3 linked regions of the Mus musculus genome follow. The protein of the gene in region 1 purifies or fractionates together with the protein of each later gene. This does not show direct contact. Links are inferred from orthologs where the notes say so. Each region holds a gene or a part of one and is shown on either strand. Other genes may lie near its edges. The genes, in order: Cd151, Itga3 and Itgb1.

The links.
Region 2: the proteins of Cd151 (region 1) and Itga3 purify together in Homo sapiens (co-immunoprecipitation; 4 studies listed by BioGRID and IntAct, with this or other methods). This does not show direct contact. The link is inferred for Mus musculus from reciprocal best matches to the Homo sapiens genes CD151 and ITGA3.
Region 3: the proteins of Cd151 (region 1) and Itgb1 purify together in Homo sapiens (affinity purification with western blotting; 4 studies listed by BioGRID and IntAct, with this or other methods). This does not show direct contact. The link is inferred for Mus musculus from reciprocal best matches to the Homo sapiens genes CD151 and ITGB1.

The regions. Positions count from the first base shown.
Region 1 is NC_000073.6:141,465,833-141,470,262, forward strand, and holds the start of Cd151 (CD151 antigen), read left to right. Parts: upstream 1-1,529; 5' UTR 1,530-1,634; exon of another isoform or gene 1,635-1,939; intron 1,940-2,586; 5' UTR 2,587-2,714; intron 2,715-2,956; exon of another isoform or gene 2,957-3,064; intron 3,065-3,422; 5' UTR 3,423-3,429; coding exon 3,430-3,513; intron 3,514-3,633; coding exon 3,634-3,825; intron 3,826-4,104; coding exon 4,105-4,179; intron 4,180-4,288; coding exon 4,289-4,393; intron 4,394-4,430. Other genes in the region: Cracr2b (EF-hand calcium-binding domain-containing protein 4A), read left to right, coding at 1-5, 214-391. UniProt on the Homo sapiens protein: Structural component of specialized membrane microdomains known as tetraspanin-enriched microdomains (TERMs), which act as platforms for receptor clustering and signaling.
Region 2 is NC_000077.6:95,066,596-95,070,240, forward strand, and holds part of Itga3 (integrin alpha-3 isoform 1 preproprotein), read right to left. Parts: intron 2,604-3,645; exon of another isoform or gene 2,358-2,603; coding exon of another isoform or gene 2,245-2,357; coding exon 2,117-2,244; intron 1,710-2,116; coding exon 1,630-1,709; intron 1-1,629.
Region 3 is NC_000074.6:128,720,106-128,723,750, forward strand, and holds part of Itgb1 (integrin beta-1 precursor), read left to right. Parts: coding exon 1-27; intron 28-169; coding exon 170-369; intron 370-2,278; coding exon 2,279-2,517; intron 2,518-2,704; coding exon 2,705-2,927; intron 2,928-3,645.

The sequences.
Region 1 (4,430 bases):
CTGAGGTGGGTCAGGCCTGCCTGGGCTAATGGGAAGTGGTTTCAAGTTTCCAGATAGTATTGGCTCCTACCCATGTTGCTGGAAGTCCTTATGTCTGCCCTATAGCCTTCATGCGGCTGGCTCTGTAGTCCTCTTGACTCAGGGAAGGCATCTCCCCCATGCACTTTTTCCTCTAGATCTTAGCCTCCTCGGTCTCCTACCTCTCTTTTCTAGGGAGCTGAATCTGAGGCTTCGAGATGAGAGAGATGCCTGTGAGACCAAGCTGCTGGGCAGTAGCCACAGGAAGGCTCTAGCTATTGCCCACAAGCCCGGACCCATCTACTGCTGCTGCTGCTGTGGCTGGGCTCGGCCCCCCAGACGAGGCTCTGGCCATCTTCCTAGTGCCCGATGACCAGCCCCGAGTGACTCACTTCCCTATCCAGAGGACTGCCCCTAGGAGGGACTGGTCTTGGTGGCGGATACTTGCTAAGTGTGTGGCTCTACCCAGAAGGCATCCCATGCCTGAAGGAGCTAACCTCAGAGTAGTCAAGGCCTTCAGTCCTTCAGTCTTTATCCTGTCTTCCTTTTTTTTGGGGGGGGGGGTTTCGAGACAGGGTTTCTCTGTGTAGCCCTGGCTGTCCTGGAACTCATTCTGTAGACCAGGCTGTCCTCGAACTCAGAAATCCGCCTGCCTCTGCCTCCCGAGTGCTGGGATTAAAGGCGCGTGTGCCACCACGCCCGGCTATCCTGTCTTCCTTAATCTTTGTCTGAAGGACCAATAAAGGCCATTGTATACTGTGTACTCCTTGGCTCTTGTGTGTTTGGGAGCCACGGTGCATTTGTGGTTCATGCTTGGTATCCATGGCACAAGGTGACATGGAGGGGTTTACAGGTGCACATTAACCCCTTCGTTCCTGCAGCTGGGGGTTCCTGTGTGCTTGTGTGTGTTCTGTGATTCTGGATATTCACCAAGCCCTCACCCATTCCTCCCAGCTGAAGCTCCCAGGACTCAGGTTTCAACAGGTGTCCGCTCCCACGCTAGTCCACACGTGGAAGGTCCCGCTCCTCACCTCCGTGGTCAGCTAGCTTTCTGGTCCAGGTCCTTTATCCATCATCCTTTGGCACAGTTCCTAGCCAGACCATATGCCACCCACACTGGGCACCTCTCGCAGGGCCCTCATGTCTCTATGGAATCTTCTGGCACCCTCCACACTGTATCTGGAGTTTCCCCTCTAGCATTTCTTCAGCCGCTAGAACCTGCAGCTTTAGAGTGGTTCTCCCGGCTTAGACTAGAGAAACTGGTCTTGACCTCAGTTCTGGACCTCTGGTGGGCTAGGTGCCACCTTCCCCACCTCTTCGCTCCCCACCTGGGTTCTACCTCTGGTCTAGCTCCTCTGTCTCTGGGCGAGTTGGGGCTTTTGATGACAAACGGGGCACCTTTAAACTAACTTTACAGACCCACAGGTCTCTCTGGCGCGCGCCTTAGCACCAAACCAGTTAGGACTTGCCTGCCCAGGCCGGCCGTGGGCGGGGCTGCGCCCGGGGCGGGGTCGCGCGCAGGGCGTGTCCTCGCAGGCCCCGGGCCGAGCGTTCTCTGTACTCCGAGTGATCGCTCCTACCGTGGCTGCCGGGGCTGGTATTTCAAAGCGTGGTTGGTGAGTGCTCCGTGAAGCATAGCCGGAGGGTGTGGGGAGCAGTGTCCTGAGTTCCTCGCTCACTGGTGTTCCTAGTCTCCAAGCTGGCCTCAGGGACGCCCAGGAGGCAGAGCCTGAGGTAGGACAGGGTTGCAGACTCCTTTCCGGAAGATCGACGCCGGGGCCGGGCAGTTAGAAGGCCGGAGGGGGAGGGGTGAGGGAGAGAGCTTCTGTGGTTCTTGAGCAGGCCTGACGGTCTCTTTCGTGCAGAAACCCAGAAATTTAAAAGTCTGACCACCCTATTCATTGTCCCTGGACACCGGTTCCCTCCCCTGAGACCGCAGGTCCGCCCACTGGCACGGGGCGGGGGAGGGCGGCAGGGGCGGTGGTGACTTCATCTCTGTGACGCGGGGATTCCTCGCCCAGCCCACTTCAGTGTTTAATCGGGTCGGTGGGGCGGGTGCCGAAGGCCCAGGACAGGTCCAGGAGCTAAGTGTAGGGCGGTTGTGTCCAGGCCGCAGGAGCTATTTCTGGCTGGTCCAGGCTCTCACACCGGCACTTTCACAGAGAATTTACATCCAGTCTGCTGATTGTCTCTTGGCTTAGGTTGATGGATGTGTCTAAAAGCCCATAGATTCTGGGCTTTTAGAGCCTGGCCCCGGGGGTTTGCATTGTGGCCAGGCTTCTTTATGTCATTGCCCGCTTTCAGTGAGGCAGCATGCATTTTTGGGTCCCATCTCCAAATAGAGCTCTGAAATCTCTCCCACTTTCCAAAATGGACAGTCGATGCATCCTCCTTCAGTTTGCGGTCGCTGCTGTTTGGTGGGGGAGGGACTGTGATGGATGGGACTGGAAGGTGGGGCACTTGGAGAAGGCATTTGGTCCCTCCCTAGATCAGGCAGGTCAGCCATGTTCTTTGGCCTGCCGCCGTCCAGTAGAAAACAGCAGGCCTGCCTGTTATGCTTCCTTGCAGATCTGGTGGCTCTGAGAACCATTTTGACCACTGCTTAAGCTTCTGTAGTTGGAGTGGCAAGATCCCACCTGCTAGGTGAAGGGCAGAGAGTGACTTTTGACCTGTACCTGCTGGTCCTGACTTGAGAGGTGAGAGCTGGTGCCTGGGCAGAGCCTCAAGGCCCCTGGCTAACAGTTCTGCTTAGGTGTGTGTCTGGGAATCTGACCTGCGTCAGCCGAGGTCTGTACACTGTCCTCAGTCAGACAATAGTGTGTCTAGGGCAGGGTGTGACTAGGGGACTCCTGGAGGAGTGGCACATTCACATATGTGGAACTGGGACCTCCCCCTACAGTCGGGAGGAGAGCTGGTTGTACAGGCTCCACCTACCGGCATCTTATTGTCTCTGCCCTGGCTGGTAGTAGAGTCAGCTCAGAGTCCTCACAAACTGTCCCTTAGGGTGGCCTGAGCTCTCTGCCATATCTGGGAACGGGTATGAGTGGTAAGTACCTAGCAGCCTGATTGTGGGACTCAGGGAATGCTTGGGGGTGCCGATCAACAGGAATGTACCCTGAAGGTCTGCTGGTGCTTCCCCCCCTGTTGCCAGCAGGAGTGAGTCAGCAGATGTTGGGGGGTCCTCCATGATAACCCACCATGTGTCTGGCTGTGAGGAGGTTAGTTCAGGAAGTGACTCATAAGGTTCCTGGGAATGCTCCTCTGAGGGCAGATAGCTGGCTGAGCTCCAAACTGCAATCATCCGGGGACTGCTGGATCTCCTCCTGTCTCCGTTGGTAGATAGCTTTCTTCCTACTTGGAGGCCTGGTGCTTCAGGCCATCTGACCTCCTCCCCGTTCCTCTAGGCCCAGGATGGGTGAATTCAATGAGAAGAAGGCAACATGTGGCACAGTCTGCCTCAAGTACCTGCTCTTTACCTACAACTGCTGCTTCTGGGTGAGAAGAGCTAATTTCTCCCTGCATCCCTAGTCCCCATGTTGGAGGCCTGGCCTGGGGGGCTCAGTCCCAGCTTCCAGACCCAGGCCAGATGTGGTGACCAGTATATACTTTCTGCAGCTGGCCGGCCTGGCTGTCATGGCAGTGGGCATCTGGACACTGGCCCTCAAGAGTGACTACATTAGTCTGCTGGCCTCAAGCACTTACCTAGCCACGGCCTACATCTTAGTGGTGGCTGGTGTTGTTGTCATGGTGACTGGAGTCCTGGGCTGCTGTGCCACTTTCAAGGAGCGACGGAACCTGTTACGCTTGGTCAGTGGGGCATGGTGGCACACGGTGGGGCTAGGGGTGCCTTGCATGGATTTCTCAGGGGGCCTCTGGTACTGGTTCTGGGGACTTAACTGGTTGAGTGTATTACTGCAGGCTGTCCCTGTTGGGGCAGACACGAGCTTCAGAACTATGAAGGAGCTAGGCAGCCCCAGAGTGTAGCTCCTAACTGAATTCCTCTTGCTTGGCCTCCTGGGTTGGGGGCTTGGCTTTGTGGTACTCTGGCACTAGCAACCCCCCACTTACTGGGTCCCTGCTCCCTAGTACTTCATCCTGCTCCTCATCATCTTCCTCCTGGAGATCATTGCTGGCATCCTGGCCTATGTCTATTATCAGCAGGTAAGGGCCTGGACAGGCCATGGGGTGTGCCTAGAACATGGCCCTGTCAGTCCCATTGGAGGTCCTGGCTCCAGCTTTGCCTTTGCCCAGAGTTTGATCCTACCCACAGCTGAACACAGAGCTCAAGGAGAATCTGAAGGACACCATGGTCAAGAGATACCACCAGTCAGGCCACGAGGGTGTGAGCAGCGCTGTCGACAAGCTGCAGCAAGAGGTGGGTGCCCCTAGAACTGCCCGCCCTCTCGGCATGG
Region 2 (3,645 bases), on another chromosome or scaffold:
ATTTAAAATTATTATTAATAATGATGATGATGATAATGGCATTAATAAGAGCAGTGAACGTTTGCTTATTTGTTTGTTTTGAGATAGGATTTCTCTGTATAGCCCTGGCTGACCTGGAACTCCCTATGTAGACCAGGCTGGCCTTGAACTCAGAGATCTACCTGCCTCTGTGCTACTACCACCCGGCTAAGCTAACACTTCCTGAGCACTTCCTTATACACCAAGCACAAGCTCTTCTCTCATAGCAACTTTCAAATTTTTTTAATCTTATTTTTTGTGTAGAGGTATTCTGCCTGAATGCATGTCTGTGTACCATGTATGTGCTTGGCACCTGCAGAGGGCAGAAGAGAGGGCATCAGATTCCGGGGAACTGGAGTCAAATCCAGCATTGGGAGGCAGAGGCAGGCAGATCTCTGGATTTGAAGCTAGCCTGGTCTACACAGTGAGTTCCAGGCAACCGTGGCTACACAGAAAGTGCTGTGAATTAGCCTCTGGGCTATACAGTATCTAGAAACAGGGGGTGTTCTTGTTTAGTGACTTTTTCTGTTACATCCCAGCTGTAAACACCACCAGCATTTCACATGAGCTTATCCTTAGGCACTGCTAAATCTCTGGTGCTTAGCTAAATATTTGTTGACCGAGTAAGGGTGGGTAAGGAGCTAATCCTAGCGTCTTCAACCACTTAAACAAACTTCGAGACACACACCCACAAACAACAGGGGGTACAGAAGGGTGGTCTCATGAACTGACTGACAGCCCAAAGCTTACAATAGCGTTCTCGGGACAGAAATCACAGTAGTGATGATTATAGGAGTGGCGACCACTCGGAGGTGGCTCAGAGAACTTTCTGGGGTGATGTAAGTATGCTCTGTTTCATGGGTGTTACTGACATAGGCTTATCATTGGTCAGAGCTCATAGAAAATCTGCCCTTTTCACTATAGGTAAATTTTATATAAACTTAAATAATGTCTATCCGGGACACAGAAATTGAGATTCCCAAGGGCTGATATTGAAGAACTGTCAGCAGCAGAAGGTGACAATTGACAGCAGGGAGTGGCACTCAAATCAGTGCCAGGGTGAGCCAGGGCCATCAGGGCTGTGCCTCTTCCGGCAGCCAGCCTCCCAGGAAGGAACGCCTGCCAGCGCCCAACTGCCTGAGGCACTCTCTGCCCTTTCTCCCTCCAAGTTCTCTCTGCTCTTTCCCACGGATGGTGAGCATCCATGCAGGTCGCCCAGGACCCACGCCATGTCCAGCCTCGGGAGAGTACCAGACAACCCTCTCCCCAGAGTTCAGGGATCAGAGAACCCACAGGCCTGTAAAGATACGAGGCCTGGGGCTGGAGAGGTGGCTCAGCGGTTAAGAGCACCAACTGCTCTTCTAAAGGTCCTGAGTTCAAATCCCAGCAACCACATGGTGGCTCACAACCATCCGTAATGAGATCTGACGCCCTCTTCTGGTGCGTTTGAAGACAGCTATAGTGTACTTACATAGAATAAGTAAATAAATAAATCTGTTTAAAAAAACAGAAGTGGACATTTGCAAAGGCCCCAGTCATCAGTGGATCCCCGCCCGACCACTTCTGCCGTCCTCCCTGGCTCGGGGGAGATGATATTAAGCCTTCACTTACCAGGACTCTACCTGCAGGGCCCTGGCTGGCCACAGTCACTCCAAGCCACATATCCTCAATAATGTGATGGTCAGGGTCACCTGTAAGAATGGGAGAGATCACGAGCTCCGGTCCCTTACCCCCTTACTCCATACTCCAGCATCCAAAGCCTCCTGAGGGCAGCAGCTCTCTGTCCTGTCTGTCACTGCTCTGAGCTCACACTGTATATGATCTTCCCTTTTTCCTGTTCCTCTTCCCAGACGGATGAGAAAGAAATCAGCGCTGCTTTTTTGTTTTGTTTTGTTTTGCTTTTTGAGCCAGGATCTCCATTTTACATCTCAAGCTATTCTGCAACCCACTATGTAGCCCATAGTAGATCTAGCCTTGATCTCGCTGTCTTTTCCCCTTAGCTTCAAATGTTGCCTCCCTAACAAGCTAACCTCGTATCTCCCCTTTGGGCCCCCTCTGCCAGGCTCCCGACTTAGCTCTGCCCTCAGGCTCGTCTCACTTTTCTCTGAAATGTCCATCCGTTCACAGTCGTCCTTGTGGGCCGTGAGGGGACACAGGTACACAGCACCAGTCCGGTTGGTATAGTCATCACCCACAGCGAGGTCCCGGGGAGCCCCGGCCAGAAGGCTGGAAAAGGAAGGCGGGTGGGTCAGCCTGGCTTTGCAAGCCTCCCTCCAGTCAGCCTGCAAATCCACACTCTCTGAACATGGGCTCCATACCAATGTCTGGAGATAGGACATCGATAAACCTTGCCTCTGTCTTCCAGGAGGGCCGACCACAGAGGAAAGTGGGCCAGGAAGCTCACACGCCGTAAGGATCTCACAGGGAAAGCATGGAGGTCTGTACACAAGGTGCCCTGGCCTCAGAGTAAGGACAATAGCCAGGGGTCACCCAATGATAAAGGGAGGAAGGACAGCAGAGACAGGGGTACAATATGTACAGGGGCCAGGAAGCATGAGCAAGCCAGTGATTCAGGCACCAGCCCTCTGGACAACGGGAACCCAGAAAGAATATTGGGGGAGGCATACAAGCCAGGACAAAGACCTTAGAGGAACCACAGAAGGGACCCCGGGCAAGGCAGCGACTTGGTTTTCTTTATTTCATTCTCTTTTTGAGACAGGGCCTCATGTAGCCCAGGCTAGGATACTCCCTATTCAACCAAAGACGACCTGGGACTTCTGACCCTCCTGTTTCCACCTTTCATGTGTTGGATTTTCAGGTATGTACCGCCCTGCCCGGATTTAGGTAGTGCTAGGAATTTAATCCAGAGCTTCCAGAAAAAGTACCAGATAGGCACTCTGCCAGATGAGGTTACGTTCCCAGCCCCAGCTGTGGGTTCTTAAAGGGATTCTTTGGCCTCAGAAGTAAAGGTAGTTGTGAAGGAATGAGAGTTATGAGTTCCAGGCCTGGGGGTATCAGAGAAGGCAGAAGAGAGAAGCTGTGTAAGGATGGATGGGTTGTTGGAAGCCTGGATCTCTCCTCTTGAGACTCTCAAGCACATAGCTCTGCGAGGCAGAGATTTCCAGGTGAGCTGAGTGAGGCCTCCACGCGCCCCACCCCCACCTGGAGACAGGCACACCGGTATGGGGTGGGGCTGGATACCAGTGTGGCCCAAGAACAGGGTTCTAGTGGTAGGAGTGGACAAGAGCTATCTGTCACCTTGTCCTCAGAATCTACCTTTAGGGACACCAAGAAATTCCCACAAGGGGGCTAGGACCCTAGAGTCCCATCCCACACCAAAAGGGTGACTTAGGCCGGGCAGACAGGGGATCGGTCCTGAAATCCTATCTCAGACAATCCCTGGGTATTTATAAAGGAAAATTTCTAACTACCACAGGCTATATGAATAGTATCTGGGGCAGTCAGCCCAGCTTCAGACCCAAGTTTTTCCTTCTATCTTCTCCCTATCAATATTCTTCTTAGAACATGCCCTCTGCCACCTTCCTGCCAACTCAGCTTTCTGGATAGCAGCACTTCCCAAGTTTGTCCCAGCAACACTGTGGCCCCGAGGCTCCCAGGCTCCAGGCC
Region 3 (3,645 bases), on another chromosome or scaffold:
TGTTCCAACATTTCTATTGGAGATGAGGTATGTTGTATGACCGTTTTCTGTGAAAAAGAAAAACATGCATAAAAATGTGGGGCTGGAGAGATGGCTTAGCAGTTAAAGCACTAGCATTTGAAATATTTTCATGTTCATTGCTAAATTTATTAATCTTTTTTCCTTTAAGGTTCAATTTGAAATTAGCATAACTGCTAATAAATGTCCAAATAAGGAGTCTGAAACCATTAAAATTAAACCTCTGGGCTTCACTGAAGAAGTAGAGGTCGTTCTTCAGTTCATCTGTAAGTGCAATTGTCAAAGCCATGGCATCCCAGCCAGTCCCAAGTGCCATGAGGGAAATGGGACATTTGAGTGTGGAGCCTGCAGGTAAGTGCAGCCTTGCTGCAGCACAACAGACAGTATAGGCCACTTTATCTGGGAAGCCTGTATAAAATAAAGACACAAATCCTTTGCTCCAGTCACTCATATACTCTTAAGGATCTCTCTGTTCTTAAGCTTTTAGCTAGGTAAGCAGTGTGTCCACTGTCTCTCAGGGCAGCATTTGGGCTTTGTTCTCTGAATGGCACTTCCAGTTCTTGACAGCAAAATACATTGAAAAGAAAAGGTAGATAGAAACATTTTTGTACAAACTGTCAATGGTGACTGTATTAGTCAGGGTTTTACTGCTGTGAATAGACACCATGACCAAGGCAAGTCTTATAAAAACAACATTTAATTGGGGCTGGCTTACAGGTTCAGTCAGAAGTTCTGTCCATTATCATCAAGGTGAGAGCATGGCAGTATCCCGGCAGGCATGGCGCAGGAGGAGCTGAGAGTTCTATGTCTTCATCCAAAGGCTTCTAGTGGAAGACTGACTTCCAGGCAACTGGGGTGAGGATCTTATATCCACACCCACAGCGACACACCCATTCCAACCAGGTCACACCTATTCCAACAAGGCCACACCTTCAGATGGTGCCACTCCCTGGTCCAAGGATATACAAACCATCACAGTGACTTTTTAAATTTTGTTTTATTTTGGATGACCCTAAATTTATGATCTTACTGTCTCAGTACTTGGGTTATAGGCAGAACTCAATACTCTCAGTGTTAAATGACAGTTTTATCTGTGACTTAGTTAACAAGAAAAATGTTTACCATGTCCAGGATTAAATTTTGTATTTCTGGGATAAAAATAAAATAGTACTTAAAGTTTACATTTATGTATGTATGTATGTATGTATGTATGTATATGTGTGTATGTGAGTGTGTGTGTATACCCTAGTGTCTTGGCACAGGCTTGTGGTGAGAACAGTTGTAAGAGTTGGTTCTCTGTCTACCTTGTGAATCCTAAGGTTGTCAGGTTTGGTGACAAGTACCTTTACCTTCACCAGACTTCTTGGCTACTTTTTATGTTAAAAACTAAACTGTGTTTGTAATACAGCCTTTTCTTTAAAGTAATAGAACCTTTTAATCTAAATGTCAGTCTCACATCACAGTGGTTTTGTTTATTGGCCCAAAGAAAAATGAATAGCTAATGTTTACTATTAATTGCCCATTTTAAGCAATGATTTAAATATTGTGTTTTTTCTGTTATATTTAACTTGAGACATTAAGATATCTTTTTGTTTAAACAGCATTTTATCAAAAAGGATTTTTTAAAAATTCTTTGTCTTCTTTTTGATTAGCATATGCAAAATCAGTTTATCCAGTGTCCAAGAACATGCTCCAAGATATGTAGGATATTTTAGAAGTCTAGATCTGTGCAGTAAACTTACCCTTAGTTAAAGCTAGTACTATTTTCAGTTTGTGTACTTTATGTATTTTTCAACTTTTGGGGTTGCATTCATTGCTATTTTTTATCCTAACAGACCCTTGCTTCAAATTTAGTGGCAGGTAGTCTGTAACAATAATATAATTGAAAATATTTGAGAATCTAGCCCTGCAAATTGATACATTCCTTTATTCCCCTGCATTTGGGAACTAGAGGCAGGCAGACTCTGTGGTCAAAGTTAGCCTGGTCTATTTTTCTATTTTTCTAGTTGTTTTGTTGTTTGTTGCTGGAGTATGCTTTCATTTTGCTCAGAGTGGTTCCTTGCTAAAGGTAAATTTTCCCCAAGGCTCCTGTATGTTCTATAAGAACTTGAGTTGCTACTTGCATGTGTGTATATATAAACACAGTGGACTTATCTTATGTTTGTACATGTGGAGTGAGCATCCCTACTTGATACTTTGCTAATGTGAGGAAATTGTTACACTTTTTGTTTTATGTGACTGTGTTTGGATCTTTCTGCAGGTGCAATGAGGGGCGTGTTGGGAGGCACTGTGAATGTAGCACAGATGAAGTGAACAGTGAAGACATGGACGCTTACTGCAGGAAAGAGAACAGTTCGGAAATCTGCAGTAACAATGGAGAATGTGTCTGTGGACAGTGTGTGTGTAGGAAGAGAGATAATACAAATGAAATTTACTCTGGAAAATTCTGCGAGTGTGATAACTTCAACTGTGATAGGTCTAATGGCTTAATTTGTGGAGGTGGGTAAGCACCAGCAGTAGCTACACACATAGTTCCTCTAATGAGATCAGATATCTGAGAGTCTCTGGGTTAACACACAGAAGGGGAGGGGCTTTCTTCTATGTTGTGGCTTGTTTTTAATTTGTGAATAATTGCTGTGATTATACATTTTACCATTGTTTTGAGAAATGATCTTTTTCGTTGCAGGCAATGGCGTGTGCAGGTGTCGTGTTTGTGAATGCTATCCCAATTACACTGGCAGTGCATGTGACTGTTCTTTGGACACTGGTCCATGTCTAGCGTCAAATGGTCAGATCTGCAATGGCCGGGGTATTTGTGAATGTGGTGCTTGTAAGTGCACAGATCCCAAGTTTCAAGGGCCAACTTGTGAGACATGTCAGACCTGCCTTGGCGTCTGTGCAGAGCATAAGTAAGTACTGCCAAAGTGTTTCACATAGTCACATTCACTTTACTGACCCTACACCACTAGAGCCAGAGGAGAGTGCTGATAGAGTATACTTCAAAGAGAATATTTGCTGCCTTTTATGTACCATTTTTTATGTCCTAAAAATTCTTAATTGTGTAACAATGAAGTGTGCCATGAGAGTTGTACTATTTTTTTTGTTGTTGTTTGTTTTTAATCTGAAATCACTGTATAAGTTTGCTGTTAGTTGGCAATACTATCCTCTGTTTTTAAGGTTTAGTGGTAGAGATAAAACAATGAACTCTACCATAGAGGAATATTCTCTAGTCTAGTTGCTATCTTTTGCTTCAGGAGAATGGAAGGTGAATTATTATACCAATACTGCTTAAGTTATTGTGGTTTTTATGTTACAAATTTAATGTGACATAGGTCCAGTTTTATTAACTACATCTTAATTTTGTGTTGTGAAGATTTATATGCATACATGTGAATGTATGTATGTGTGTGTGGGCTATCACCAAGGGCTTAGAGTAGATTTTAATATATGTCCCCCACGTCTGCAATGTGCTACTTGTTGGTCTTAGACATACCTGTTAGAGGTTTGTCATGGACATGCTGGTGTCTTTACAAAAAGGATTCACAGTGTAGGCCTAATTGGCATCTGTGTAGCAACCATAGCTGTGCTCTGGATGCCAGGGTCTGTACTGGATGCTGAGCAGGTCCC